4 linked regions of the Stegostoma tigrinum genome follow. The main gene of each other region encodes a partner of the protein of the gene in region 2 in a complex. Links are inferred from orthologs where the notes say so. Each region holds a gene or a part of one and is shown on either strand. Other genes may lie near its edges. The genes, in order: actin-related protein 2/3 complex subunit 5-like, actin-related protein 2/3 complex subunit 1B-A-like, arpc5lb and arpc2.

Region 1 (6,916 bases), on a different chromosome or scaffold from region 2:
TATCACCTTCCTCACGCTTTACATTCTTGATCTTTATTTACTGCCATCAAAAAAAAATGCCGTAATCTCCCTTCAATGACCTGCTTGTGGGCACAGTCTGAAGCTGGAACGTTCACAAATTTGCCATTACAAACAACCCTGATCTGAACTTCTGACCCTACATCCTCTCTACTGCCAAAACTGCCACTTACATGGTTGTAACATCACCTGTCCTAAACATGCCTCATTTCATCTACCGATGAAATCTAGTTGATGCCTTAGTTAGTTGTATATTTATTACCAATCTTTCCACACTGGTGAGCTTCCGACCTTGCAATGTCTTCAAACTTGAACTCATCAAAAACACAACTGCCCATTTGCTAACCTACGTCCCATTTACTTATGATAGCAGGAACTGCCAATGCTGGAGAATCTGAGATAACAAGGTGTAGAGTGGGATGAACACAGCAGGCCAAGGAGCAGAGGAGCAGGAAAGCTGACGTTTTGGCTCAAAACCCTTCTTCAGAAAACCAGACGCTCTACACCTTGTTATCCCACTTACTTATCACCTGTTTGCTGTATTGGCTGCCTGTCAGAAGGCAGAGGGTTGGGATAAAAGGCTCTTTTTCGGAATGGCAATAGGTGACGAGTGGTGTCCCGCAGGGTTCAGTGTTGGGGCCACAGCTGTTCACCTTATATATTAATGATCTGGATGAAGGGACTGGGGGCATTCTGGCGAAGTTTGCCAATGATACAAACATAGGTGTGCAGGCAGGTGGTACTGAGGAGGTGGGGAAGCTGCAGAAAGATTTAGACAGTTTAGAAGAGTGGTCCGGGAAATGGCTGATGAAATTCAATGTGAATAAATGTGAGGTTTTGCACTTTGGAAATAAGAATACAGGCATGGACTATTTTCTGAATGGTGAGAAAATTCGTAAAGCAGAAGTACAAAGGGATCTGGGAGTGTTGGTCCAGGATTCTCTAAAGGTTAACTTGCAGGTAGAGTCCGTAATTAAGAAAGCGAATGTAATGTTGTCGTTTATCTCAAGACGGTTGGAATATAAAAGCAGTGATGTGCTTCTGAGGCTTTATAAAGCTCTAGTTAGGCCCCATTTAGAATACTGTGTCCAATTTTGGGCCTCACAGGTCAGGAAGGACAAACTAGCCCTGGAGCGTGTCCAGCGGAGATTCACACAGATGATCCCTGGAATGGTAGGTTTAAAGTATGATGAACGGCTTAGGATCCTGGGATTGTACTCATTAGAGTTTAGAAGGTTGAGGGGAGATCTAATAGAAACTTACAAGATAATGTATGGTTTAGAAGGGGTAGACGCTAAGACGTTGTTTCTATTAGGAGGGGAGACTAGGACCCATGGGCACAGCCTTAAAATTAGAGGCGGTAAATTTAAAACTGAAATGAGACGACATTTCTTCAGCCAGAGTGTGGTGGGCTTGTGGAATTCATTACCACGGAGTGCAGCGGAGGCTGGGACATTGGATGCCTTCAAAGCAGAGATCGACAAATTCTTGATCTCAGAAGGAATCAAGGGCTATGGGGAGAGTGCAGGGAAGTGGAGTTGAAATGCCCATCAGCTATGATTTAAATGGCAGAGTGGACTTGATGGGCCGAATGGCCTTACTTCCACTCCTATGTCTTATGGTTTGAACTGACTTAAAATGATTCCCATTCAGGTATTCCCTGATTTTAAAAATCTTCTTGTTTTCAACTCCCTCCACAGCCATGCTTCTTGCCCTTTTCCACTTGAACAATTCTACCACACATCTTGCTCATTCCTGATTTTCACTGCTTTACCACTCGCAACCATGCCTTCAGGCTCCAGGATCTGAAATACCCTTCTTACACGTCTTTAGTTCTTCCTTTAAGATGTTGTTGAAAGCCTGTCAAATCAAACAAGCTTTTGGTCACTTGTCCGAATGTGTCCTTCTGTGGTTTGATATTCTGTCAAGCACTCTGACCTTTTGCTTAATGCAACCCTTAGCCTGATTCATCCAATCCAATCCTCAACTGTCTCCTGAATTACAACCTGCAAGAATTCCAGTCCACAAATATCCAAGTCCCAGCCTGCATTTAACAGTACACTCCCGTAATATCCACCCTCCGTAAATATGAACTGAAACGCTCACGAAAGCAAAATAAAATTGTCATCTTTAAACTTCTTCATATCCTCACGCCTGTCTGTTCTACGAATCCCCTGTTTAGCTGAGGCAAACTGCCACTGCCTTGATCTTAAACTAACCGACATCCTAGCCTACTTCGGGACTGAACCTTCAGCCAGGTTCTTCCGAGAGGGGCCAAAGCTTCAGCATTTGTGTCCCACCCTAGAATGCAACTGACACTATGCAAATACAAGAGATTCTTAGAGCTAAATCTCGCCGGTAAAGGAAACATTTCAAAAATAAATAAACCAATCGCATTAAATGCAGAAGTTCAAATAATTAAGGTGTTCAGATAATGTTTAAACGGTTGCAATGCAAGTTAAATTATAAAAAAAACACCACGCCCAGATCACAAGAAAATGCAGCGGGTGCAGCCGTCAGGCAGGGACTTCCTACTGAGTGAATGAACAGTTCAGAGTCTGTAAGGAAGCGGGCCACCCGGACTGTACAGCCCCGGTACCGCTCTCTCTGGGACTGCATCCTCAGGTACTGTTCATTCCTGAGTTGGCCCGAGGGCCTAGAGCCCCGGTACCGCCGCTTCCCCACCTCCATCTTCCCCACCCGACGCCCGCGGCCCGAACTCAGGAAGGATATTGCCTGATGGAAGCGTCCACTTCGACTTCGTCGGGACCCAGCTGGTTCTCGCCTCCTTCCTCTTCGTCCACGTAGTTGTTCTCGTCGTAGTCATCGACATTAACCCGACGGAACTTGTCGGCGCTGGTGTTCTTGGACATGTCGCCGGGCAGAGGAGAGACAACACGGAGCAGCTTCCAACCGTCACTCACTGAACTCGAGGCCACCGCTTCCGCACGGGGCGGTCTTGGTGCGGGGGGGGGGTCAGAGGTGGAGGGAAGACCCGCTCCACTCTGCGCCTGCGCACCGCCCCAAGCGCGTGCACGCCGCGTACGCGCATAAGCGCCCCCGAGACCTGCCCAGGTGAAGCGTGAGCGCTGTGTCGGTTCACAGCAACTGAAGGTTGATGTCGAGCTGTGCAGCACGGAAACAGGACAACCAGGTTATGCCGAGCATAATTCCAAACAAAACTAGCTCCACTGCCTGCTCCTTCCATACATTTCTCATCCGTGCTCTTTTGGGTATTTTTGATATTTTTCTAAGCAACCTGTTCAAGGGTGTTGTTAACACGCCTTTGGAAGCAGGTGGGACTTGTATTTGGTCTCCGAGTCCAGTGCGCTATACGACCCTCTTTACCCTCAGAGACTGCAGATCCTGGAGTCAGAGATAACACTGTGTGGAGCTGGAGGAACGTAGCGAGTCAGGCAGCATCAGGGGAGCAGGAAAGCCAACCTCGACTTTTCTGCTCCTCTGATGCTGCCTGACCTGCTGTGTTCCTCCACCACAATTGGAAGATTGACACTGAACATTTATCCTGGTTGTTTCATAACGTTTCTATTCCAGGGCGGGGAGGGCAAGAACTCAGCCCCCTTGGTCAGAGGTGAGAACACTACCACTACGCCACAAGACTTTCTGTGACATTCTTCTCCAATTGTTGCTGAATTGCAGTGAGTCTTACCATGCTGTAGCTTGCATTGTTGATCTAGGTTTATGTTTCTAACTCAGAGGTAAGACAAAGTGAAACAAATAGAATGTTGACGAAGCTCAGCAGGTCAGGCAGCATCTGAGGTGTAGAGAGAAACAGAGTTAACATTTCAAGTCCGCATGACTCTTCTTCAGACCTGATGACAGGATGAAGTATATTTGGGCAAGAAGAAAGGGAGGGGGCACTTATTATCTGGAAGGTGTGAGCATCTGATGAGCAGAGGAGCAAGGCGAGCTGCGAATGCAAATACATCAATCACTAAAGCCTGTCCACAAAAATGGGAACCCTTGCAGTGGGCTTTATTTCTAGACAAATCAAATTGAAAGTGAGAGAAGTGATACTGAATTTGCCTGGCTAAAATCTTGGTAAGCTAAGACAAAAGATACTGTGGCATTCCTGTGTTATAAAAAGAATTTTGAGGCAGTGAAGTGGGATTAAAGAAGGTTTACAACACTTACTTCCCAAACGTTTTCACATTGTGACCCCATTTTGGCATCTGACAACAAATCTGAGCCCGGATCTGGAGGTATGGTGGGGTGTTGAGGTAGGGGGAGATAAAAACATGGAAAATAGGAACAGGGGTTGGCCATTTGGCACTTTGATCCCGCTCCTCCATTCAATATGGTCATGGCTGATCATTCTATACAATATCCTGTTCCTGCTTTTGTCCCATACCCTAAGAACTATGTCTGATTCCTTCTTCAAAACATTTAATGTTTTGCCATGAATCACTTTCTGTGAGAGAATTCCACAGGCTCAGCACTCTGGGTGGAGAAATTTCTCCTCTTCTCAGTCCTGCCCATAACCTTTGGCTATGACCCCAGGTTCTGGAATCTCTGGTCATTGAGAACATCCTTTCTGCATTTACTATGTCTAGACCTGTTAGAATTTAATCAGTTTCTATGAATCGTGAACATAGTCCTAATCGGTACAATTTCTCTTTGTATGTCAGTCCTGTCATTCCAGTTAATTCTGTCATTTGTTGCACTCCCTTCGTAGACAGAACTTCCTTCCTTAGGTAAGGTGACCAAAAGCGAACATAATACTACAGTTGTTATCAAGGCCCTGTACAAGATTCTATAGCAAGACATCCCTGCTCCTATATTTGAGTCCTCACATTGTAGCTGGCAACACACCATTTGCCTTCTTCACTGCCTGCTCCATTTGTATACTTGTTTTCAGTGACTGGTGTATGAGGACACACTAGCCTTGTTGCACCTCCGCCTTTCCCAATGAATTGCCATTCAGATAATAATATGTGAGACCTGGGATTAACAGAATGGAACTGCTTCATCCATAGACTTTTTACATTTAAACAACACCTAGTTATCCACAAAATTTATCAACACATCATTCAGGCCTCAAAGTTTGGCTGCTTAGGCTTCACTCACTGCAAAAAATTTCCAACAGTTTAAAGGGGAGGTGCAGCTTTAAGCATTTAGTCAGATTTCCATAACAGCCTTTTCTGCCTCCCAGTGTGACCCCAGCATTTCAATTCAGGACTGATTTGTGTAGATGATACCTTAACAGCGTGGGCATGTTTAATCAAAAAGGATTGTCAGACTGGGTTTGTTTTACTTGTGGAAAAACAAGAATGATGGATCACCAAATAAAGGCATTTAAAACAAACATAGAGAGTGCTGGAGAAGTTTAGCAGGCCTGAAGCATCTGCGCAGAGAAAAACAGAGTTAATGTGCTCAGTCCAGAATGAAAATACAGGAGCATTTTACAAGCTTCACACAAACCCGCTCTGCAAGCTGTTTCTTGTAAGTTTCGAGATCGCTCAGTGTACTAAAGCCCTGAGAGAAGAAGCTGGATTGTGCATCTATGAGTGACATCATCTGGAACCAATCAGATCAAAATTCAGGTGGCACAGAATACCACTGTTGCAGTTACCCAAAAATATTTCAATAGTTTAAAATAATTAGTGCGTACATGACCCAATGGATGTGGGTATTGCCCACCTAGTGTGGTATTCTGTGAAAGGTACATTGCATTGTTCATTTCCTGGCCTGTGTACATATATCTAATCTCCTTCGGGGTTCCACGTCCCATGGTTAGCATCTAAAGGGGAGAAAGCAACTGTGCTTCCAATGGTCGGACATCATCTATAGATTGTTCTTTGAAAAGAAAGCTTTGGATAACGATATTGGCCAAGCCATATTTTTAATGATACACATTATCAATCAAGCTGCAGCTATTATGAACAGTGCCAGGGAGAAGAGAGTACTGTTGTGAGAAGTCCTGTTAACATCAACAACAATGTCAAGAGTTAATAGTTAAGGGAGTAAATTACACCTAAAATCCAGCCTGGATTCCCATTTGACAACCGAGGTTTCTCTGAAATTTGTACCTCTTAGCAACTCCTCCAACTGATTAGGGCCTAACCTTGGTTTTCCCTCCTTCCTCTGGATAACAGCCTTTGGTGAGGGCAGTAAAGTGCCACGTAAATTTGTACATGTTGAAGTCACGATATGGAGATGCTGGTGTTGTACTGAGGTGGTGAAGGTCAAAAATGACATGATATGAGGTTATATTCCAGCAGGTTTATTTGAAGGCATGAGCTTTTGGAGTCTCACTCCTTCTTCAGGTATCAGTGAGAGAGGTGGCATCGGATGCAGAATTTATAAACAAAAGATCAAAGGGTCATAGAACTGATGTGATGTTGAGCAATTTAAAATGGCTATTAAATATTTAATCAGTTCGAAAAGATTAATATGCAAATTCCTGAATTTCTCTCAAATCACAGCCCAAAGATAAATAAATGCTTTATCAGTTCCCTCAGTACACTAGAGATGACAAGCCAGGTCAGACAATGCATTTTGAGTATGAGGCCTTGTTCTGTATCTGGCTGTGCATCAAGTTTAAGACCTATGCAGCTGTAACAACACCTGTCTTCAATGCAAAAAACAAAGTCTACATGACGCACAATGTAAATTAATGGCTAAGTAAAAACCACATGACCTTAAACCGGCCAAGAAACCCATGCAAAAGATAGAGAGAGATAATGTGCAAATAAACACCAAATCAACTTATAGCAGGAAATCCAAATTGCCTGTGACAATAGAAATTCACAGACTATATATGGAGGGATCAAGAAGGTGCTTGGTGCTGCTGTCACTAATGTTGTCCCTGAAATCAACAGATGCTGAAGTACTCATCAACAGAAGTAAACAGATGTTCCGTTGGGCTAAAGATAAT
Region 2 (7,451 bases):
TAAAAATAAATCGTGTTGAATATTAACATTTAATCTCAAGTTTTAAATACAAGCTGAAGATTGCCATTTTGAACATTATGCCCATGAAGGCCTTTCAAAGGTCTAATTGGTCCCACCCCCTACTCTTGCCCACAGCCCTGCAAATTATGTTTTGAATTCTATGTTTCTGACCATTCCTTTTCCTTCCCAAGACTGTGACAAGTCCAAAATATGCCACGTGATGGTGGCTGAACAGGATGGATGCTGACTGGAGGAATCCAGACCTGTTGGGGACTGTGTTGAAATTAAGGAGTTTCCCATTTCAGATGGAAACACAGGAATCTCTCCACTCAATGTTGCTAGTCTTTGGAATTCTCTGGGGTAAGGTTTATTAAATGTATTCAAGACTGAGTTAGACAGTTCAGATTGACTAGCAGTTAAGGGCTATGGGGGCAGGCAGTGCAATTGAGATAAGCTCAAAATCTGATCAGCCATGATCCCGCCAGAAGGCAGAACAAACGTTTACTTCTGGTCATATATGCCATTCTTCATTTCAAAGCCCCACCTGAAAACATCATCACAGCTTAGTTTAAGCTATTTCATGTTCAACAACAATAGCCAGTCATTTCTGAACAGCAGTGAGAATATTGACTGATTTTTCCCACCCAACTCAACAGCATTGCTACCAACTATAACACTGAGGTCAGTGAGCTTAGCCTCAGGAATAATTGCAGCTTGAAAAACTTTGTTACCCATGCAATGTGCCAGCCCTAAATTCTCTAATTTAAAATGATCTCAATTACAATCTTTATTCTACCAGGAATCATTCTAAAGTCTAGAATAGGTTGACACGACAGTTGAGGTGAGCCAGGATATCAAAATAAAACTAAAATATCTAGCAAAGCAGAAGCATGTCATTATTACCAATCTTCAAAACAGACTGTAGACCATCTATTTAATATAACCAAATTCTCCACCTTTCTCATTAGCAATAAAGTGAACATGATACAGACTCTACACATTGAACTATATCAAAACAACTCAAACACTGCATCCAATGCTTCATTCTATTAGCTTAGAACTTCAAATGGAGATACAAGCTATTTCTATGGCTTTAACACAGCAGTATTCAGGTAATTAGCAGGCGGCTTGGGTTTAAATTTCAGTTTTTAGGCCTAAACTACTCCGACAGCGTTTTCCAAGTCTGTTACCTCTTGTCAAGCGCTGTAAATGCATAGGTACATTAATATCTTCAAATTTCCCTCCAAATCACCCACCATTTTAAATCTGAACACAGTAATGCCATTCTTTCGTTGCTGCTGATCCAAACTCATTACTTTAAACCTAACAGCACCTTGCCAGTATCTTGTTGGCTGTTCAAGGCTGCAGCTCACCGCTACCTTCTCAATAGCATCAGCAACAGACAAATGAATGCCAGTCTTTCCAGTGACACCTACATCTCAATTAGAGACACATCAGTTTAGGGGAGACGGAGATGTTCCAAAGGCCTCTACATTTTTGGACAAGACTTGGATTGGGAACAAAGGAAGAACATGGAGTGTGCTGGTCTTTTATTGAGGTCTTTACAGCCTAATAAAAAGGTGAACAAGGTTGCAGTCTCAAACACAGCTGAAAAGAACTGGAGGTTAAACTGCCCTGTAATTTTTCAGGAGGGAGGGAATAAAATGCAGAAAGAGATTGTGTTGAATTGTTTAAATATATTTTTTAAAATGATAGATATCAACGTTCCTAAAGTAATTCCCGTCAGAATTAAGTGAATAAAACATCAGTCACCACCTTACTCTCGCCCAAGTCAAGATGCTTTACATCCACCCAAGGGAACAGACAGAGGCATTAGTTTAACATCTCATTCAAGATGGCATCCCTGGCAAATCAGCACTCCATCAGAGCCAGTCTCCCTTTATCATGCTCAAATCTGTCAGCAGAATGTAGAACTTCCTGACTCAGAGGGGGCTGTGTTATAGACCGAGTGTTAAGTAATGCTGTAGCATATATTTAAAAAGCTGAACAGAAACATGGCTAAGGAACAGACAATGTCTTTTCACTGACTAATGGTTTCCACTGTTCCAACCCACTGCTGACCACAGCAGCCATATCTATAACATCCTGTTGCAGTGCATCACTCCTGCTCCTCCGAGCACTCCACGCTTACACCACATTTTCCAGAGAAATACAATCCAGGTTCACAGTGCTGGTTACGAATTCTTTCCTAATGCTCCATGCCAGAGCAAACAGGGGCTGAGCATCGAAATTTCATTTTCACTTCCCAAAAATAAAATGACTGCAAGCTTAAAAATTGCAATGTGAAAGTGCCCAATCGAGCATCGCTCAGATCACACAACCTGACAGGTGGAGCTGATAATTCATTTAGCCCACAAGGAGTTAAGTCGACATATTTGAGTGGTTGTGAACAATTTTTAAAAATCCAACTCGTGGATGTTTCTCCCATGGATTCGAAGTTCCAGTTTCGCCGCATCTTTAGCTTCTACGGGACACTGTCCGGGTGAGGCTGGAAATACTCAAACTCCCGTCTCCCATTTGATCAGTTTCTCCACTACTAACCGTCCTGAAAGTTCCTGCTAACTGGTTCATAACATACCGTTTCCCAGACACAAAATGGTCAAGATTGTTACTTACTCTGCGACAATGTGGAGCAATTTCTTGGAACGAATATGGCATTTAACTACAAACAGTCATTACACATTCCTGCCCCAAAGTCAATACTGAAAGGCTTCAGTGAAAGAAGCCCTTACGCAAACAAACTGACAGCCCGCGCTCTAAAAAGGAGACAACCAAAACAGTGAACTTACCTGCACAAGAAAACACAATGAAGCAGTTAAGAAGAAATGTAAATCTCCTTGCTTTTATATTTAAAAAAATTCAAAGTTGCCTCAGTTCATGGACTCTGTTCCGTCAACATGAACGGCAGTGCAGTAGCTCCAGCAAAGGGCTGAGAGACTGCTGCACTGAGAAGCTGCCTCTACTTCCCCTTCCTTTCAGAGAGATCCGACCACTTCCTGATGTGGGCGGCTGGTTCTTCCACCAGCTGCCTTTACATGAGTGCTTAAGTGCAGCAGGGCTGTGCAAGTCTCCTCCCTCCCTACTTGCTTACTTGGTTCCTACGATTCTAATAGGCACTCCGCACACAAACCACTCAGCCCTGTGCCGTATTTACGCTCTGTGGGTCATAATGGAATTGCTACATAGAGCTAAAATGGACACAGTACAGTTATACGATTCTCATTGTATTCAGCGAGTACCAGTCAATCTTAAAAGCTATTTTACCTCGTGCATTTCTTCAGTTTCAATATGAAGTCATCGAGTCTACCGGCTCTTTGCAACTGCTGATCAATGAACCTCAGTCCCTAATCTGTTCATAATATCAGCCTCCAACACTGCGGTTAAAGAGCAGCGGTTTGGGGATGTTGCATGAAGGAGTAAGGCTCCTTGGGTAGTATTGGTATTGTACTAGCAGGCAGAAGGAGGAAATTCCAATCCAATGTGCTAATTTTGCAAATCTTAGAAAGGCAGACATTGAAGTATTTTACAGTTTTTGGACTGGGACGAGGAGGAGAGGGAAGGCAACGTTTCTGTCCTGTAATAATGGGAACTGCAGATGCTGCAGAATCCAAGATAACAAAGTGTGGAGCTGGATGAACACAGCAGGCCAAGCAGCATCTCAGGAGCACCTGAGATGCTGCTTGGCCTGCTGTGTTCATCCAGCTCCACACTTTGTTATCAACGTTTCTGTCCTGTTTGTTCTCCAAAGTCCGTATTAACTAGCTGCAGAAGCACTGGCTGAGAATGGTGTCACTGTATCATCCTGTGTGACCAAATTCAGTCAATGCTCACTGGCTGACAAACTTGATAAGAGATGCTTTTGCACAGTCAGCTGAAGCTCAGGTGGTGTCATTCCCACCTTGGAGTCAGAGGGTTGCCAATTCATGATCTATTTTAAGCATAACATCTAGGCCAGCATACCCGATTCTTTTTCCCCCACCGTGAGTCCATTTCTAGACTTGAAAATTGTTGTGACTTCTTAATGAGAACTTGGGTGGAGGAGTAGGGTTTTTTGGGGGGGGGGGGTGGTTGTAGCTTCAGAGAAAACAACAGCCTCTTAGAAATGAGCATGCTGCTAGAACTTGGAGCCCCATGGCAGATATTGCTGCCTCAGAGTTGACAGCCCCAAAATTTCAGCTCGTGATTCCACTTTATGGTCCCAATACCCCCTCCCCACCCCCATCCACCCCCCTCTCCCCCAAAGTGCTAATGTTTGGAATTAGCTCAAGAATTCCAGTTTAAAGGATAAACCACAAAGCAATGATGCAATGGATGAGAGGTCATTGAAAGTGAAGCTGGGATATACATGAACAAATATGGGAGGTGCAAGTAAGTGTAGAAGATCCAGGATTTGAAACTTTGCCAAGGGTTTCTTAAATTTTTTTTCAAACAAATCTGTTTAAATTTCTGGTATTGCTATTTTTAAAAAAAATCACCATATTATTATTCAACTGGCTCACTAAAATGTGTTGTAGATGTCAAGGGTGAATGATAGTTGATCACTGAAGAAAGTTTCATATGCTGTAAGACACCTGGCCTGAGCACAGCAATGCTGAAATGGGCAAGGATAGCACAGGTGCCTTCCATGGGTTCACTGCAAACAACTCACACAAAACTTCAGTGAGGCAACCCACAAAAGAATGCTGATGGTGTGGGATTGAGCAAAAATCTCCATCATAAAATACTGAACAGGACTCTGGACTTTTCAAAACTTTTAAAAGTAAATTGGTCAGCTGGGCTGAGCTCTGGAAAAAATATAAAAACACAGAGATGGCTGCTCAGAACCAATGTTCAGCCTGGGATTCCAATTTACACCTCCACTTTAAGAGGTCAACCTAGTAAACCTAACACTCTAAATCAGAACCAACTTTTACACCTTGGGCTACCCAGCACAAGCAGTATGGACCCTACACAGATACCAAACATTTAACTTCAATCAAAATCCATTTATACATACTCAACTATTGGGAAGATAATTGATTTCAGAAGGAAACACCAGGAACGGTGAGGACAACACAGATTTGTGGGGGGATAACTGGACAATTGGTCTGTGTAACTGCTAGCCCTGATCTGACCCGAGGGGAGAGCTTTTTCAACAATAAACTCCTGCATGAACAGCTTCCCCAGAGTTCCAGCACCAACACGCAGCTTCAGAATGGAGAACTACAGAGGACGAACAGAAACTCAGACGGCAACCCAAACCAAGGGTACCATCGCAACAAAGGACATTCCGGGAGCAGGGAAGCAAACCAAGCACGATCCGATAAAGAGCTTCCAGACACAGGTCTGTTCTGAACCAATAGCAAGAACCTCAACAGCCTGCAGAACTTCAAAACTGCATTTTCCTCAGCGGTGAGCTTAAAGTCCTAAGACCCCAAAAGTTTCCAACCTAGCTAGCAGGGAGGGGAAGGCAGGTGGTGACAGTGCATGGGACTCCAAGGGTTGGAAGCCTGATTAAATTTTGAGATTAAAACTGCTGTTTAGGTTCTAATACTGTTTGAATAGTGTATTTCATTACTGTCCTCTATATAGCTGATAGTGTTACTTTCACTGTTTGTTACATTTACCTTTATTTTCTTGTGTTTTTTTTGTATTTAAGCAGAGATTCTTTTGCCCTGAAATGCCTATCTACTGCCTTCTTCATTTTGCATTTCCTAAATAAGTCCAGTGTCAGAACCAGGGAACTGGTGACAATTCAAACCACCTAAAAATCAGCAAATTACTGAGTACAAACCAGAAGCCTACAATGGTGTTCAACATTTGGAAGTGCGAAGATGTCTGGCACCAATTTGGCACAGAGCTTGAACCCATTCTTTCCAGCATGGAAGTACTGACCAACTCTGTTTGCACACTCGTGGACCAAACCATGATCACAACTTCTACTGAAACCCAAGCAACAGACACTCAATATCTGACTATTACAGTGAACACTGGCTGCTGACAAGTGAGCTCAGCTGCTGCTGTGCAGATTCAGACTGCTGTCATCATGGTTCTGGTTATTACTGTTCAATAGGGTTTGCATGACATTGCAGCATTTCAGCAATCTGTCCAACAGATTACTCGGATTGCTGGTGTGTTTTGCATCATGAATCATGAACTTGGTGCACTCTCACCTCTGTCAATACCCTTCCTGTCACCTGCCAGTGAGTTAACCACTGCACCATGGTGTCTCGGCAATAAAGTTTTCTAGGCCCAGAGTTTCTTGAGATCATGCTCCAAGGTCCAATTGAAATTTCCTCCAATGTAAGTTAGGAGTCTTCTTCCAGGCATACTTAGAATCACTGGAGTAGACCTGCAGGAAAAAGAAACTAGGACAGACAATATCATTTGCAAGACTGGCTCTGAGAGAATAAGGCAATTGGTTCATCTTTTCATGCAAGATGTTGTGGGTTCATGCATAAATTTGGTTTGAAACATTTGTGTTTACATTATCCTTGTATGGGGACAATGTGAATACCGAGATGGTCAATGGCAGAGGAAAGGAAAATTGTTGGAATGTTGGTAAATGGGGAGTAGGCGTTCAGTGCTCATACCATACCCAAATCAGCTTTCAATCTGTCCGCAAAAAAAATTAAGTTGTCGATCCTTCTTCCTTCTCATCAAATAGCTGACAGTATGGGCTGTCATCTGATGATTGCTGTACGACGCATCTGCAGGATTCTGCAGCGTACTGTAGGATGGTTCCAGTGGTGTTCTTTTAGTGCATGAATCCCTGCCCTGTCATTTCATGTGTCAGCATGGTTTTATTTTATACAGACAGGAGTCACCAGCCACCTCATCAGAGGATGTTGTCGTTAACCAGTAACCACTCTGAGTTGTGGCAATGTGACTGTTCCCAGGATATCAGACAATGACCAACATAATTTCCCACCTATGGTCGCACACTATCTGGATATTAAAAGGCATACAATCCCCTTCAGAGATAACAAGGTGCAGAGCTGGATGAACACAGCAGGCCGAGCAGCATCAAAGGAGCAGGAAGGCTGACGTTTCGGGCCGAGAAGCGGGGTCTAGGCGCAAAACGTCAGCTTTCCTGCTCCTCTGATGCTGCTTGGCCGGCTGTGTTCATCCAGTTCTACTCCTTGTTATCTCAGGCTCTCCAGCATCTGCAGTTCCTGCTATCTCAAACAATTTCAATCCCTTTCAGAGCTGTTATAGGACACAGTTGACACAGAGCAGCTGCAAACACAATGTGCTTACAGTCAGGGTCTGCCAATATCAGGTCTTACAAAAACAGGTCAAATTGTGAAGGAGACCCACTGTCTGTTTTTGGACAGGATGGCTACCTGTCCACTGCTCAGAAGCTGAGTGTGGTGGCTAGTGAAAGTAAGTTAGTAAACTCAGCCTTATTTTTAAGCAGAAGAGCAGAGACAGCTACTGATTTTACCTTA
Region 3 (7,913 bases), on a different chromosome or scaffold from region 2:
CATAGGGTAAGAGATAAGTAGTGGGAAAGTAAATGGTCTGAGGGGGATAAAAGTTTTCTTTAAAACCTCTGAACAATTTTCCTACTTGACTAAGACTTCAGTTTCCTGATTTCCTATCTGTGCCTCCAATGGAGTAGCAGCATTTTGGTGCCACAAATCACATCATTTGCAGGACCTTTATGACTGTAGTGAGGTTAATCTGTAATAAATCCAACAACACTATAGAAACTGGTGAGTTTTTTTTTCCAGAACAAAAATTTTAGTTAATCATCCAGCAATTCTGGGACTCATTTCCAAATAGTGCCATGGGCATACATATCCATGAACGGATGGTGGCAGTTCAAGACTACACCATCTCAGTTAGGATTGGGCAACAAATGCTGGCCTAGCCATAGATACACCATTCTTGTGAATGAATGTTAAAAATTATGGTGATTCAGAACTCATGGCACAGAAAAATTGATTTTGTACACAAACATTGAGCCAGTACATGCACAGTAGCAATTCAAGAATGTCATTCACCAGTTTATAGCAACTGGCACAGACATAAATCCTGGCATTGCCAACAACACCCACACAATGCCAACAAAAAAAAAGTGACCTTATGAAAGCAAAACAAGTTCATTTAAACAGTGCAACCATCTCAAAATAACATGGATAGAAGATTGGCTAGCTAACAGGAAACAGAAGTGTCAATAGATCATTTTTGGTTGGCAAATCTAAGTCGTAATGGGCTACAGAATCAGTACTGGGGTTTCAACTTTTAATTTATATGAACAGCTTGGACAAAGGGACCAAAGGTATAATCACTAAAGGCACCACGACAGGTAGGAAAGTAAACTAAAAGAGGACACAGGAGGCTACAAAGGAACATAGTTTAAATGAGTCAGCAAAAATGTGGGAAATGGTATACAAGTTGAGAAAATGTAAAAATGCTTATTTTGACTGCAAGATTTAGACAGAAGCATTACATAAATGTGAGTTTGCAGAGCTCCAAGGCGCAGTATGATCTGGGTATCCTCAAAGGAATCACATGATTAGTGTGCAGGTACAGCAAGTATTTAGGAAAGCTAATAGAATCTGTCTATTGTAAAGGAAATTGAATACAAATGTAGATTACTGTTCAGCCTTTCAGGGCATTTGTCTATAGTACTGCATACAGTATTGGTCTCCTTATTGAAGGAGAGAAATAAGATATCCTTGAAGCAGTTCAAAGAAGGTTTATTACACTCATCAGGTCTAGCAACATCTGTGAAGAGAAATCAGAATCAGGGTCAGAGGAAGTGTCACCAGACCCAAAACATATTAACTGATTTCTCTTCACATGCTGCCAGACCTGCTGAGCTTTCCAGAAATTCCTGTTTTTTGTTTCTGTCAACAGGTTTTTCAGTTTTTATCATCTCACAACTGGAATGGGCAGGTTGTCTTATGAAGAAAAGCTGGACAGGCTAACCTTAATTCTGAAGTTTAGAAGAGTAAGAGGTGATTTGTTTGAAGCAAAATCCTGACAAGCTTTGACAGGGTGCATATGGAAGGGAAGTCTCTTCTCGTGGGAGATTCTAAGGGGTCACCTGTTTAGGGCAGATATGGAGAATTTTCCCAGAAAGTCATCAGTCTTTGGAAAAGTCTTCCACAAAAAGTGATGGAAGAAGAGTCTTTGAATTTTTTAAGACAGAAGTAAATAGATTTATGACAAAGGTGGGGATAATCTTTCAACCACACACAATATTATGTGGAGTAATCAGATCAGCCACAATCAAATTCAATTTATTTTCTCAATCTATCAGAAGTGTTATGTCAAACCTGTGCAGCCGGTAGGACTTAAACCAGGCCATTTGGCTCAAGGGACACTGGCAGTGCACAAGAATCTTATTGAATGGCAGAGGGGTTAAGTGGCCTAGTCCTGTAACTAATTTATATATTTGCAAGAATGCAGGACCTGGCTAAAAATGCTCAAATACCACTGTACATTAACATTGTGACTGAAAATGATCGCTATTTTCCAACTTGAACAAAATCTCAAATCAAGGGTTCCCAAACGGTGGGCTGCAGTGCCAGTTGGATGGTGGAACAACGTTTTTGGGATCATGATTTCATTTTAGCGACGGTATGCTTGGAGCTTGAACTGAGTTCTGACAAATTGATTTCTTTTATGTCATTTTGGGTGGCTTTATCTTTTGTCTCATTTGACATTTGATTGTTACTACAATCACAGCTTGTACAATGGTGGCTCTCTGCTATTTTTAGGGACAAAGTGAGCAGCAGTAACCCCGTTCGTACTTCCACCCATTTCCACACTGAGGACTTAAGGTGCTGATCACAGCGGGGTAAATATTGGAAATTAAAAAAATAAAAGGTATTTAAACAAATCTCCAAAATGACAAATTCTGCACATGATATAATAAACTCACACTGAAGTCGTCAGTTAAGTGACAAACTCGATGAAAATGAAGCAATCCAGTGAAGGATGAGTGCGAAAGCAATGCCATTAACTTCAGTCGAGGGTGCTCCAGGCTGCCCGGGAGCGCAGTTAATAGTCGGCAGCAGTTTGAGAGCGGGTGCGGTTCCCAGGGGGTGAAAAAGAGTGAGAGGTCCGTGGTCATGGGGAGGGGAGAGCTGTCACCTTCCCTCCCGGCGTCATGCGGCGCTCTGCCAGCGCCTGGTCTCTCACAAACACGCGCACGCAGAGGGAGACGGGCCATAAGGATATTGCCTGATGAGAGTGTCCACTTCCAGCGAGTCGGGCCCCTGCTGCTCCACCGCCTCCTCCTGCTCATCCACAAACTTGTTCTCATCGTACTCGTCAACGTCGACTTTCCGGAACCTGTTGGAGAGCGTGTTTCTCGCCATCTGCCCCTACTTATGTTAAAAGAGCAAGTGTTAAATGGGGACGATAAGCCACTCCCTCGCCGACACCCGCACCTACTGAGCCGGAGGCTGCATCGGCGCCGGGCGATCGCGCTGCTTCCACTCAAACGCGGGGCCTGCCGAACCTCGACCCGGAACCGGAAACAGTCTCTGGAATGCACGATCTCAGGGAGAGGGCCGGTAAGCAAAATCAACAAAACTCAATGATGACTGAACCCCGTCGTTAAATGAGTTACAACGACGGGCTATAAAGAAAATAAAACAAGTAGGTTTCTAAAAGACGACGATGTTTGTGTAAAGTTAAACGTTTGACATAATGGATCGCGCTGAATCCTCCCCTCCGTGAAATGGATGGTAGGTCCTATCACGTGGAAATACAGGCCCCGCCCGCGAGGCCTGTCTTTTCCTGCGCTTGCCCAAGAAAATGGTAGGAGTCTGTAGGTTGTCTGCTCCTGCTAACTGGAGAATCCTAATTCATCCCGAAAAACTACTGGCTCTACAGCGGGAGTAGCTGGCTCTTGTGAATCCTCAGGCTCCCCTTTATCGGCTCCGCCAGTTATTTAGGATTTCTTTTTAGATTTTATGTTTAAACTGCGACGGATGATCCGCAGGCCGCGGTGTGTCTCTTATTTTTACATGGCGGCCCCGCTGCCTGGTCCGCGTAGGTAGCCCCGCCATTGGGAGTTGTGGAGATGCGGGGCCTGTCGAGCGGAGTCTGCGGGAGGGGCACATCAGGCGGGAGCTGCCTGAGCGTTTAGACAGTTGTTGCGACTCCAGACGTCCCGCTGGATCACCCGTGGCATTGCTCAACGATATCAGCTTCAGTCTTCACCCCCCCCCCCCCCCCCACCCCGCCGCCGAAGAAAGTCTTGGTTTTACTCCACATTTCTATACGTCTTTGAAATTGGCGATAATAGTGGTCCTGTTGCTTCTCCCTTCCGATTGTGAGCAGCTTTTTCGTTTGATGCCTCAGTTGCTATCTTCCCAACTGCAGTGAGGTTTTGGGGGTTTCTTAAGGTGAAGAAATCAGGGTCAACTCCTCTTGGTGACTCAAGAGGGAAACCTATTGATAGTGATCCTCTTCATCTTTTTTTCCATTCTGCTTCGTGATAGTGGTTACTGGGCTAGTCAGGTGTTGTTAGAGAAAGCTTGGTGAGTTGTGATGAATTCTGATATTTAGCTGCAGTACAACTAGTGGGTGTCCAGTGATGGTTGCAGTGTTCAAGCATGTTGGTTTGTTGCACTAGTCTGATTTCTTCAGTGTTGTGGGTGTACCCATCTGGTAAAATGGTGAATGTACTTCTCGCTGCAGATTTGATCCTCGTAACTTTGAGAAGAATGGGAAAAGGAGTTTCATATTGAATAGTAAAATGTGAGGCTGGATGAACACAGCAGGCCAAGCAGCATCTCAGGAGCACAAAAGCTGACGTTTCGGGCCTAGACCCTTCATCAGAGAGGGGGATGGGGGGAGGGAACTGGAATAAATAGGGAGAGAGGGGGAGGCGGACCGAAGATGGAGAGCAAAGAAGATAGGTGGAGAGGGTGTAGGTGGGGAGGTAGGGAGGGGATAGGTCAGTCCAGGGAAGACGGACAGGTCAAGGAGGTGGGATGAGGTTAGTAGGTAGCTGGGGGTGCGGCTGGGGGTGGGAGGAAGGGATGGGTGAGAGGAAGAACCGGTTAGGGAGGCAGAGACAGGTTGGACTGGTTTTGGGATGCAGTGGGTGGGGGGGAAGAGCTGGGCTGGTTGTGTGGTGCAGTGGGGGGAGGGGATGAACTGGGCTGGTTTAGGGATGCAGTGGGGGAAGGGGAGATTTTGAAACTGGTGAAGTCCACATTGATACCATATGGCTGCAGGGTTCCCAGGCGGAATATGAGTTGCTACCAGCCCAGCTCTTCCCCCCCCACCCACTGCATCCCAAAACCAGTCCAACCTGTCTCTGCCTCCCTAACCGGTTCTTCCTCTCACCCATCCCTTCCTCCCACCCCCAGCCGCACCCCCAGCTACCTACTAACCTCATCCCACCTCCTTGACCTGTCCGTCTTCCCTGGACTGACCTATCCCCTCCCTACCTCCCCACCTACACCCTCTCCACCTATCTTCTTTGCTCTCCATCTTCGGTCCGCCTCCCCCTCTCTCCCTATTTATTCCAGTTCCCTCCCCCCATCCCCCTCTCTGATGAAGGGTCTAGGCCGGAAACGTCAGCTTTTGTGCTCCTGAGATGCTGCTTGGCCTGCTGTGTTCATCCAGCCTCACATTTTATTATCTTGGAATCTCCAGCATCTGCAGTTCCCATTATCTCTTTCATATTGAATAGTGTCTTTTTTTGAAATTCATTCATGTGATGTGTGTGTTGCTGGCTGGCCAGCATTTATTGCTCATTTCTAGTTGCTTTTGTTTGGAAGCCACTCTGGCTTGATATTTATATTTTTCTGTGGTCAACTCCAGCTTGCCGCCACTCCTGGTTACATGCACTCATCTGATTCTGTCACCTTGAGCATCCCCAAATTCTGTCACTCCATCACTGGTGGCTATGGTTTCAGCTGTGCACTCAGAATGGAATCGTACAGTGTAAAAGAAGCTGTCTGGCCCATTGAGTCTGTACTGTGAAAAATATGCTAATACCTACACTCGTCCTATTTTCCCACAAGGCACATAATCTTGAATGTTATAACACTACAGGTGTTTGTCCAAGTACTTTTTAAATGTTTTACAGTTACACATCTCAGCTGCCCTCAGGCAGTGCATTCCAGAACTTCACCTCCCTTTAGGTGAAAAGATTTGACTCTCATTCCCCTTGAAACCTCCTGTCTTTTGCTTTAAAAGTGTGCCTTTTTTCTCTTGGCCCCTTGATTGAGAGGAACAGCTGCTATCTATTTGCATTGTCTGTGCCCCTCATAATCTTGTACACCTCAATCAGTTCTTCCTTCAACCTCTGCTCCAAGGAAAATAGCCTGAGCTTATCTGACCTCTCTTCATTGCTAACATACTCCATCCCAGGAAACATCCTGGTGAATTTCCTGTGCGAGCCCTCTAGTGCAATCATGACCTTCCTATACACAGTGATCAGCACTGCATTTACCGAGCTCTGGAATTTGCACCCTCAACAACAAAAGCAGCCACCCCACACACATGCGCGCGCACGCACACACACACACACACACACACACATCTCTTCCACTCTTCCTTTGCAGCATCTCTTAAAATTTGCCACTTTGACCAATCTTTTGGCCCTTTACTCTAACATTGTATGATGTCACTCAGTACCAAATCTTGGTTTTATGAAGCCTCTGGAAATACCTTGAGATATTTTACTTGTTAAAGTTGCTATACTTTGCACCTTGTGGCATTGTAATTAGGGCTTTATTGGTACTGTGAATCTGGAACTCTCCCTCTAAAGCTGTACTGGTTGGGTCAATCAAAATTCTTAGATTAATAAATTTCTGCTTACGGGTTATCTGGATTAGAAACTGCTAAATGGGGTTTAAGGTACAGGTTAGCAAAGATCTAGCTGAAAAACCTGATAAGTTGAAGGACCAACTCTTGCTCCATATAGCATTAACAGCTACTTGTATTATCTTCAGTTTTCGAATGTGTGTACTGTTGATCGAGTCCACTTGGAGGCTTTGTTTGTGTGACAGTAACATGGTGGTTCTTATTAAATATAGGCAAAAATCAAGGCACGTGATCTGCGCGGCAAGAAAAAGGAGGAGTTACTGAAACAGTTGGATGACCTCAAGGTTGAACTCTCCCAGCTCCGTGTGGCAAAAGTAACTGGAGGAGCTGCATCCAAACTGTCCAAAATGTAAGTATATAGGCTTGAGATATTTTGAACATGCCAGTGATTTTAAAATCTCGCTTATTAGAAAGGACAGCTTTGGATTAGTTTGGAGACTTGCTGACCGAGCTGGTGTGTTTGATCGCAGACTTATCGTCATCCTGCTAGTGACATTGTCAGTGCACCTCTGGTGAAGCATCGATGTTCTGTCCCGCTTGTTATTTATGTGCCTTGGTTTGCTGGGGTGTTTGGCGTTACTTCCGGTTTTGTTTCTCAGTGCTTTGTATCTTTGGTCCAGTTCAATGCGTATGTTGATGGAGTTCTGGTTGGAATGCCAGGCTTCCAGGAATTCGCTGGCATGTCACTGTTTGGCTTGTGCTGTTATGGATGAGTTGTCCCAGTCAAATTTATGTTCTTCTTTGTCTGCTTGTATTGAGACTAGTGAGAATTGGTTGTGTCTCTTAGTGGCTAATGTGTATTTGTGTATCCTTATTGTCAGTTTTCTTCCACTTTGGCCTGTGCAATGTTTCTCAGTCCTTGCATGGTATTTTGTATATTACATTAGTTTTCTTGGTTGTTGGTGTGGAATGCTTTACTGTCACAGGGTGTTGTTGGTTTGTGGGGTACCCTGATACTTAGGGGTCTGTAGGATGACGAGTGTTTCTGGCCATGTTGTCTCCAGTTGTAGTCTGTGCAAAAAGCAGGCCAGGAGCACTTATACAGAGTATTTAAAAAGAATGTATACCCAAAAAGCACAATCCGTGGCTACCTCCGCAACAGACCATAACAATAAGACAGAACATGGCAGAGGTGCACTGACGATGTTACTGAGCAGGGTGATGAAACATCTGCAATCAAATATACAAATATACTGGCTTGGCGAGCATGTCTACAACCTCATCCACAACCTGTGCTACAAACCTTCTCAAAAATGCATTGGCAGGTTTGGAGTCCAGCTGGTAGTGAGTCAGTGTTCTGGAGGTTTGAATGATTTTACTGCTATTTGGTGGGCATGATATGGTGCTCCAAAGAGACTGTTTGACTTTCTAAAGTACTTTGAAATTGACTTAAATTACAATGCAGAACCATGTAGTTCAGCCCAAAGAAAATAAATCTGGGAGTGCGAGATCCACAGGAGCTAAAGTGCTCCTGTTTCTACATCTTACCTTTTTTTTAGTTTCAGAGTTTGACAAGGTTTATAACTTGGTGTTATAATTGTTTTTCTCTCTCTTTAGTCGTGTCGTGCGGAAGTCCATTGCAAGAGTCCTG
Region 4 (7,559 bases), on a different chromosome or scaffold from region 2:
GTTGTGGAAGCAAGGTCATTGGGGTCATTTAAGAGACTGCTGTACATGTATATGGTCACAGAAATTTGAGGGTGCATACATGAGGATCAATGGTCGGCACAACATTGTGGGCTGAAGGGCCTGTTCTGTGCTGTACTGTTCTATGTTCAATTAAGAGAAGTCCTCTGACAATTTGTTACCCAGAATATACAGGTAACCTGTTTCATATAGAACATTACAGCACAGTGAAGGCCCTTCAGCCCTTGATGTTGTGCCGACCTGTCATACCGATCTCAAGCCCATCTAACCTACACTATTCCATGTACGTCCATATGCTTATCCAATGACGACTTAAACGTACCTAAAGTTGGGAAATCTATTACCGTTGCAGGCAAAGCGTTCCATTCCCTTACTACGCTCTGAGTAAAGAAACTACCTCTGACATCTGTCCTATATCTTTCACCCCTCAATTTAAAGCTATGCCCCCTCGTGCTCGCCATCACCATCCTAGGAAAAAGGCTCTCCCTATCCACCCTATCTAACCCTCTGATTATTTTATATGTTTCAATTAAGTCACCTCTCAACCTTCTTCTCTCTAATGAAAACAGCCTCAAGTCCCTCAGCCTTTTCTCGTAAGACCTTCCCTCCATACCAGGCAACATCCTAGTAAATCTCCTCTGCACCCTTTCCAAAGCTTCCACATCCTTCTTATAATGCGGTGACCAGAACTGTACACAATACTCCAAGTGCGGCCGCACCAGAGTTTTGTACAGCTTCACCATAACCTCTTGGTTCCGGAACTCCATCCCTCTATTAATAAAAGCTAAAACACTGTATGCCTTTTTAATAGCCCTGTCAACCTGGGTGGCAACTCCACATCCTTCCTATAATGTGGCAACCACAACAGCATACAATACTTCAAGCATGGCCTAAAGTTTTATACAGCAACATGACTTGCCAACTTTTACACTTAGTGGCCTGACCAATAAAAGCAAGCACGCTGCACACCTTCTTTCCCACCTATCCTCTCGTGCTGCCACTTTCAAGGAGCTTTGGACTTCCATCTCAAAATTCCTGTTTACCACAGTTCCTCAGGGTCCTGCCATTTACTATACAACTTCCTCTTCTATTTGCCCTCCCAAAATGCATCACCTCACATTCGTTCGGATTAACCTCCATCTGCCATTTCCCTGTCCAACTTTCTAAGTGATCTATATACTGTTGTATCCTTTGACAAACTCTCCTATTATCCACAACTCTATTTTTTGTGTTGTCTGCAAACCTACGAATCAGGCCAATTACATTTTCATCCAAATCATTGTAAAACACAAACAGATGTCCCAGCACAGACCATAGCAGAACACCACTGGTCACAGAGATCCAGTCAGAAAAAAACACTCTTCCACTATTACCTCCTCTGGGCCAGGCCAATTTTGAATGCAGCTTGCCAACATACCATGGACTGCATGCAACTTAATCTCCTAGAGTAGCCTACCAGGATGGACTTCATCAACTGCTTTGGTAAAGTCCATGAAGACAACATCCACTACCCTACCCTCAATCATATTCATCATTTTCTCAAAAAAATCTATTCACATTCGTGAGACAAGACCTTCCCGTAATAAAGCCCTGCATATCCCTATTAAGTCTATTCTTTGCTAAACGTGAATAAATCCTGTCCTTAAGAACCTTTTCCAATAATTTCCCTTCCACTGATGCAAGGCACGGAAGCCTACAATTTCCTGGACGAGCCCTATTGCTCTACCTAAACATGGAACAACACTAGCTAGTCTCTAGAATTCTAGGACGTCAACTGTGGTGAAAGAGGAATCAAAGATCTCAGTCAAATTCCCAGCAATCTCCCCCACTGCCTCCCTCATTATCCTGAGATAGATGTCATCAGGTCCTGGGGATTTAGTGTTTTTAAAGACACTCACCACCTCGTCCTCAATATGAGCATGCCTTAGAACATACTCCATCTGAGATTCACCATTCAACATGGCCTCCTTTTTGGATACTGATGTGGAGTGCTCATTACAGGCATTTCATCTGGTTCCAAGTATAAATTCCTTTAGTGCTTAACTGGACCCCAGTGAGCCTCTTGCTCCTAACATAGGTTTATAAAATGCCTTGAGATTCACCTTAATCGTACTTGCCAAGGACATTTCACGGCCCCTACTGGCCCCAATTTCTCATTTAAGTTCTTTTCTGCTTCCTTCCTCAAGGGCCTTGTTCGATTTCAGTTTCCTAAACCTTACATATGCCTCCTTTTACTTTGTGACTAAACTTTCAATATTCCTTGTCACCCAGGGGAGGGGAGGGCTGGGTGAGGGAGATCCCAGGGTGGGGGTAGGGGTGTGGGAGAGAAGATGAGGGGGATCCCGTGGGAGGCGTATGCTGGTGGCGGAATCAGGGGAATCCAGGTGTTGCGGTAGGGAGATGAGGGGGATCCTGGGGGAGGGGTGGGCTGGTGGGGGGGGGGGGGGAATGTGGGGGATCATGGGGTGGGGGGGAATCCCAGGGGGAGGGGGTGGGGGGAAAGAATCCCGGGGGGAGGAGTGGGGAGGGTGGGGGGGGAGGAGTGGGGAGGGTGGGGGGGGAGGAGTGGGGGGGTGGGGGGGGGAGGAGTGGGGGGGTGGGGGGGGGAGGAGTGGGGGGGTGGGGGGGGGAGGAGTGGGGGGGTGGGGGGGAGGAGTGGGGGGGTGGGGGGGGTGGGGGGTTGGGGTTGGGGGGGGAGGAATCCCGGGGGGGGAGGGGAGATGAGGGGGATCCGGGGGGAGGGGTGTGTCCGGGTCGGGGCCTGAGCTGAGCGCCGGCCCAGGAGCCTCCCTCCGCCCGGCAATGAAGAAGCATTTCCCGGGTCCGTACCCCGCGAGCGCATTCTCCAACTTGAGGCTGAGGGTTTCCTCCACGATGCGGTTGTTAATCTCCAGCAGGATCATGGCGGCAGCGGCAAGGAACCCGGACACAGTCTCGGCCTCTCCTCCAACTCCAGACCCTCTCCGGAAACAAGGCCCAGCCACACCCGCAGAACCACTTCCGCAGCCGGTCAGCGCGGAGCAGGGGCCTTTCACGACCCCGGGGCATCCTGGGATATCTCACCACCATTGCTGGATTATTTCCCCAGACTTCTGAAGCCCTTCAGAGAAATATCATCATATCTGCCTAGATGAGACAAATGGGAAGAAGTGAGAAGCAGATGAAAAAAAATAAACGGACTGATGTTAACTTTCAGCAGATGGATGATTTCACAATGAATTTAAAATCTTGAGCGATAGTTGTAGGTCTCTGAACTTGCACGCAAACTTGGACCGCTTGGAGGATAACTGTTGTTAAGCAAATTTAGAGAAAGAGCAAGTGGGGAAGAAGGTGTGAGGTAAAAGGTATATCTGTGATACGGTGAATGGTAGGAAATATTAAATCAAGGGTTGATGTAGAGAGAGTGTACATCTTGAGGGTCATAACTGGTTAGATGCCTGTTAAACAGCATGAAGCAAGGTTGGATTGTGGCTTCCCAAATATTTCATCTCTTTGTTCCTGTGAACCAAGAACAAAGAACAAAGAAAATTACAGCACAGGAACAAGTCGTCAGCCTCGAAGCCTGCGCCAATCCAGATCCTCTATCTAAACCTGTCATCTATTTTCCAAGGATCTGTATCCCTCTGCTCCCTGCCCATTCATGTATCCGTTTAGATACACCTTAAATGATGCTATCGTGCCTGCCTCTACCACCTCCACTGGCAACGCGTTCCAGGCACCCACCACCCTCTGTGTAAAGAAATTTCCACGCATATCTCCCTTAAACTTTTCCCCTCTCACCTTGAACTCATGACCCCGGTAATGGAGTCCCCCACTCTGGGAAAAAAACTTCTTGCTATCCATGCTGTTTATACCTCCCATGATTTTGTAGACCTCAATCAGGTCCCCCATCGAACTCTGTCTTTCTAATGTAAATAATGCTAATTTATTCAACCTCTCTTCACAACTTGCGCCCTCCATACCAGGCAACATCCTGGTGAACCTCCTCTGCACCCTCTCCAAAGCATCCACATCCTTTTGGTAATGTGGTGACCAGAACTGTACGCAGTATTTCAAATGTAGTCGAACCAAAGTCCAATGCATCTGTAACATGACCTGCCAACTCTTGGACTCAATACCCCGTCTGATGAATGAAAGCATGCCATATTGCCTTCTTGACCACTCTATGCATCTGCGTTGCCACCTTCATGGTACAATGGACATGAACACCCAGATCTTTTCATGTACCAATTTTCCCCAGGGCTTTTCTATTTACCACATAGTTCACTCTTGAATTGGATCTACCAAAATGCGTCACCTCGCATTTACCTGATTGAACTCCATCTGCCATTTCTCTGCCCAACTCTCCAATCTATCTATATTCTGCTGCATTCTCCAACAGTTCCCTTCACTATCTGCTACTCCACCAATCTTAGTGTCATCTGCAAACTTGCTAATCAGACCATCTATACCTTCCTCCAGATCATTTATCACAAACAACAGTGGTCCCAACATGGATCCCTGTGGAACACCACTGGTCACAGTTCTCCATTTTGAGAAACACTCTTCCACTCCAATCCCTCTCTCCTGTTGCCCAGCCAGTTCTCTATCCATCTACGTAGTACACCCTGGATCTCATGTGACTTCACTTTCTCCATCAGCCTACCATGGGGAACCTTATCAAATGCCTTATGAAGTCCATGTACATGACATCCACAGCCCTTCCCTCATCTATCAACTTTGTCACTTCCTCAAAGAGTTCTATCAAGTTGGTAAGACATGACCACCCCTGTACAAAACCATGTTGTCTGTCACTGATAAGCCCATTTTCTACCAAATGGGAATAGATACTATCCCTCAGAATCTTCTTCAGCGGCTTCCCCACCACTGACGTCAGGCTCACTGGTCTATAATTGCCTGGACTGTCCTTGCTACCCTTCTTAAACAAGGGGACAACATTAGCAATTCTCCAGTCCTCCGGGACCTCACCATGCTCATGGATACTGCAAAGATATCTGCTAAGGCCCCAGCTATTTTCACTCTCACTTCCCTCAGAAATCTGGGTTAAATCCCATCTGGACCTGGGGACTTGTCCATCCTAATGTCTTTTAGAATACCCAACACTTTGTCCCTCCTTATGCTGACTTGACCTAGAGTAATCAAACATCTATCCCTAACCTCAACATCTGTCCTGTCCCTCTCCTCAGAGAATACCGACGCAAAGTACGCATTAAGAATCTCACTCATTTTCTCTGACTCCTCGCATAACTTCCCTCCTTTGTTCTTGAGTGTGCCAACCCTTTCTCTCGTTAGCCTCTTGCTCCTTATGTATGAATAAAAGGCTTTGGGATTTTCCTTAACCCTGTCTGATAGAGATATTTCATGATCCCTTTCAGCTCTCTTAATCCCTCATTTCAGATTGGTCCTACTTTCTCAATATTCTTCCAAATTTCATCTGTTTTCAGTCACCTAGACCTTTTGTATGCTTCCTTTTTCCTCTTTGCTAGTCTCACAATTTCACCTGTCATCCATGGTTCCCTAATCTTGCCCTTGCTATCCCTCATTTTCACAGTGACATGTCTGTCCTTTACTCTAATCAATCTCTCTTTAAAATCCTCCCACATATCAAATGTGGATTTAATCTCAAACAGCTGTTCCCAATCCACATTCCCCAGCTCCTGCTGAATTTTGCTATAGTTGGCCTCCCCCTAGTTCAGCACTCTTCCTTGAGGATCACTCTCATCTTTGCCCATCAGTATTCTAAATCTTACGGAAATGTGATCACTATTCCCAAAGTAATCCCCTACTGAACCTTCAACCACCTTGCTGGGCTCATTTCCCAACACCAGGTCCAGTATGGCCTCTTCCTGAGTTGGAATATTTACATACTGCTCTGGAAAACCCTCCTGGATGCTCCTTACAAATTCTGCTCCATCTGAGCTCCTAACACAAAGTGAATCCCAGTCAATGTTGGGAAAATTAAAATCTCCCATCACCATCACCCTGTTGCTCCTACATCTTTCCTTAATCTGTGTACATATTTGTACCTCTATCTCATGCTTGCTGTAGAGAGGCCTGTAGTACAGCCCCCACATTGTTACCACACCCTTCCTATTTCTGAGCTCTGCCCATATTGCCTCACTGCGTGAGTTCTCCACCATGCCCTCCTTCAGCACAGCTGTGATATGCTTGTTGGCCAGTAATGCAACTCCTCCAACTGATCATGTGAATGCTTCAGCCTTATTTTTTGCACTAATGTGCTGGCTTCTTTCATCAATGAGGATGGGGATATTTGTGGAGCCTCCTTCCCCAGTGAGTTGTTTAATTGTCCACCACCATTCACAGCTGGAAGTGGCAGGACTGCAGAGCTTAGATCTGATCCATTGGTTGTGGGATTGCTTAGCTCTGTCTGTCACTTGCTGCTATTGCTGCTTGGCGTGCAAGTATTCCTGTTTGTGGCTTCACCAGGTTGACACCTCACCTTCAGGTATGCCTGGTGCTGCTCCTGGCATGCCCTCCTGCACTCTCCATTGAACCAGGGTTGATCCGCTGGCTTGATCGTAATGTTTGAGTTGGGGATGTGGCGGGCCATGAGATTGACTTAGGATTGTATTCGCTGGAGTTTAGAAGAATGTGGGGCATCTCAGAAGATTAGAAGAGGGAAGGATGTTTCTCATGTTGGGGGAGTCCAGAACTAGAGGTCATTGTTTGAGAATAAAGGATAAACATTTTAGGGCTGAGATGAGTGGAATTTCCTTCCCTAGAGACTGGTGAGTCTGTGGAATTTACTCTCACAGAAAGTGATCGAGGCCAAAACATTTTTTTTATGTGGAAGTTAGATATAGCTTTGTGGTTAAAGAGATCAAGAGATATGGTGGACGTGGGATTAGGGTATTGAGCTTGATCTTCAGCCATGAGCATATTGAAAAGCAGAGAAGGCTCAAGCATTTAAATGGCCTATCACTGCTTCTAATTCTATGTTTCTATGTGCAGTAAAAAATCTGGCAACAAGTGGCATGTCAGTCTGAATTTGAGTATAGATAAAATAAGTCTTGCTACATTGTACAGGGATTTGTTAAGACCACATCTGGAATATAGATTTTTGGGAATGCAATTTTTGTTGAAATACTTAAGGAAGGTCATACTTGCATTTGAAGTGGCACAGTGAAGGTTCACTAGGTTGGTTTCTTGATTAAGAGGGTTAATAATGAAAAGCTAATTAAATTGGCTCTGTATTCTCTGGAGTTTAGAAGAATCAGAGATGACCTAATTCTCTTGCAAGATTCTGAAAGGACATTACATGATAACCATTGAGAGATCATTTCCCGCAGGCTTGGGAATTGAGAAATCATGGATACTGTATCAGGAAAAGGGACCAATCATTTAAGACTGAGAGAAGGAGAGGGTTTCATTCAGAGGGTTGTAATCTTTAGAATTCTGTATCCTAGAGGATGTCTATTGTTCAATACATTTAAGGTTGAGAGAGAAAGACTTTTAGTTTTTCTGGGAATCAAGGGAGTGGCCAGGAAAGTAGAGTTGATTGATCAAATCAGCTATGTTCA

The links.
Region 1: actin-related protein 2/3 complex subunit 1B-A-like (region 2) and actin-related protein 2/3 complex subunit 5-like share a complex: the UniProt entries of both Homo sapiens proteins name them as parts of the arp2/3 complex. The link is inferred for Stegostoma tigrinum from reciprocal best matches to the Homo sapiens genes ARPC1B and ARPC5.
Region 3: the proteins of actin-related protein 2/3 complex subunit 1B-A-like (region 2) and arpc5lb are in contact, whole or in part, in a cryo-EM structure (PDB 6YW6), measured with the Homo sapiens proteins. The link is inferred for Stegostoma tigrinum from reciprocal best matches to the Homo sapiens genes ARPC1B and ARPC5L. Residues at the interface, in NP_005711.1 of Homo sapiens: Arg118, Lys138, Arg142, Phe164, Ser201, Gly203, Trp204, His222, Asp223, Ser224, Thr225, Leu240, Ala241, Ser242, Glu243, Thr244, Leu245, Pro246, Phe281; in NP_112240.1 of Homo sapiens: Asn21, Lys22, Arg102, Gly139, Leu140, Gly141, Ile144, Arg145, Thr148, Arg150, Lys151.
Region 4: actin-related protein 2/3 complex subunit 1B-A-like (region 2) and arpc2 share a complex: the UniProt entries of both Homo sapiens proteins name them as parts of the arp2/3 complex. The link is inferred for Stegostoma tigrinum from reciprocal best matches to the Homo sapiens genes ARPC1B and ARPC2.

Annotation. Positions count from the first base shown.
Region 1 is NC_081361.1:45,984,429-45,991,344, forward strand, and holds the start of actin-related protein 2/3 complex subunit 5-like, read right to left. Parts: upstream 3,004-6,916; 5' UTR 2,892-3,003; coding exon 2,751-2,891; intron 1-2,750. UniProt on the Homo sapiens protein: Component of the Arp2/3 complex, a multiprotein complex that mediates actin polymerization upon stimulation by nucleation-promoting factor (NPF).
Region 2 is NC_081376.1:12,211,217-12,218,667, reverse strand, and holds the start of actin-related protein 2/3 complex subunit 1B-A-like, read right to left. Parts: upstream 3,022-7,451; 5' UTR 2,811-3,021; intron 1-2,810. UniProt on the Homo sapiens protein: Component of the Arp2/3 complex, a multiprotein complex that mediates actin polymerization upon stimulation by nucleation-promoting factor (NPF).
Region 3 is NC_081382.1:26,287,820-26,295,732, reverse strand, and holds the start of arpc5lb (actin related protein 2/3 complex, subunit 5-like, b), read right to left. Parts: upstream 3,012-7,913; 5' UTR 2,851-3,011; coding exon 2,711-2,850; intron 1-2,710. Other genes in the region: rpl35 (large ribosomal subunit protein uL29), read left to right, coding at 3,293-3,295, 6,535-6,671, 7,880-7,913. UniProt on the Homo sapiens protein: May function as component of the Arp2/3 complex which is involved in regulation of actin polymerization and together with an activating nucleation-promoting factor (NPF) mediates the formation of branched actin networks.
Region 4 is NC_081360.1:104,225,871-104,233,429, forward strand, and holds the start of arpc2 (actin-related protein 2/3 complex subunit 2), read right to left. Parts: upstream 3,015-7,559; 5' UTR 2,922-3,014; coding exon 2,848-2,921; intron 1-2,847. UniProt on the Homo sapiens protein: Actin-binding component of the Arp2/3 complex, a multiprotein complex that mediates actin polymerization upon stimulation by nucleation-promoting factor (NPF).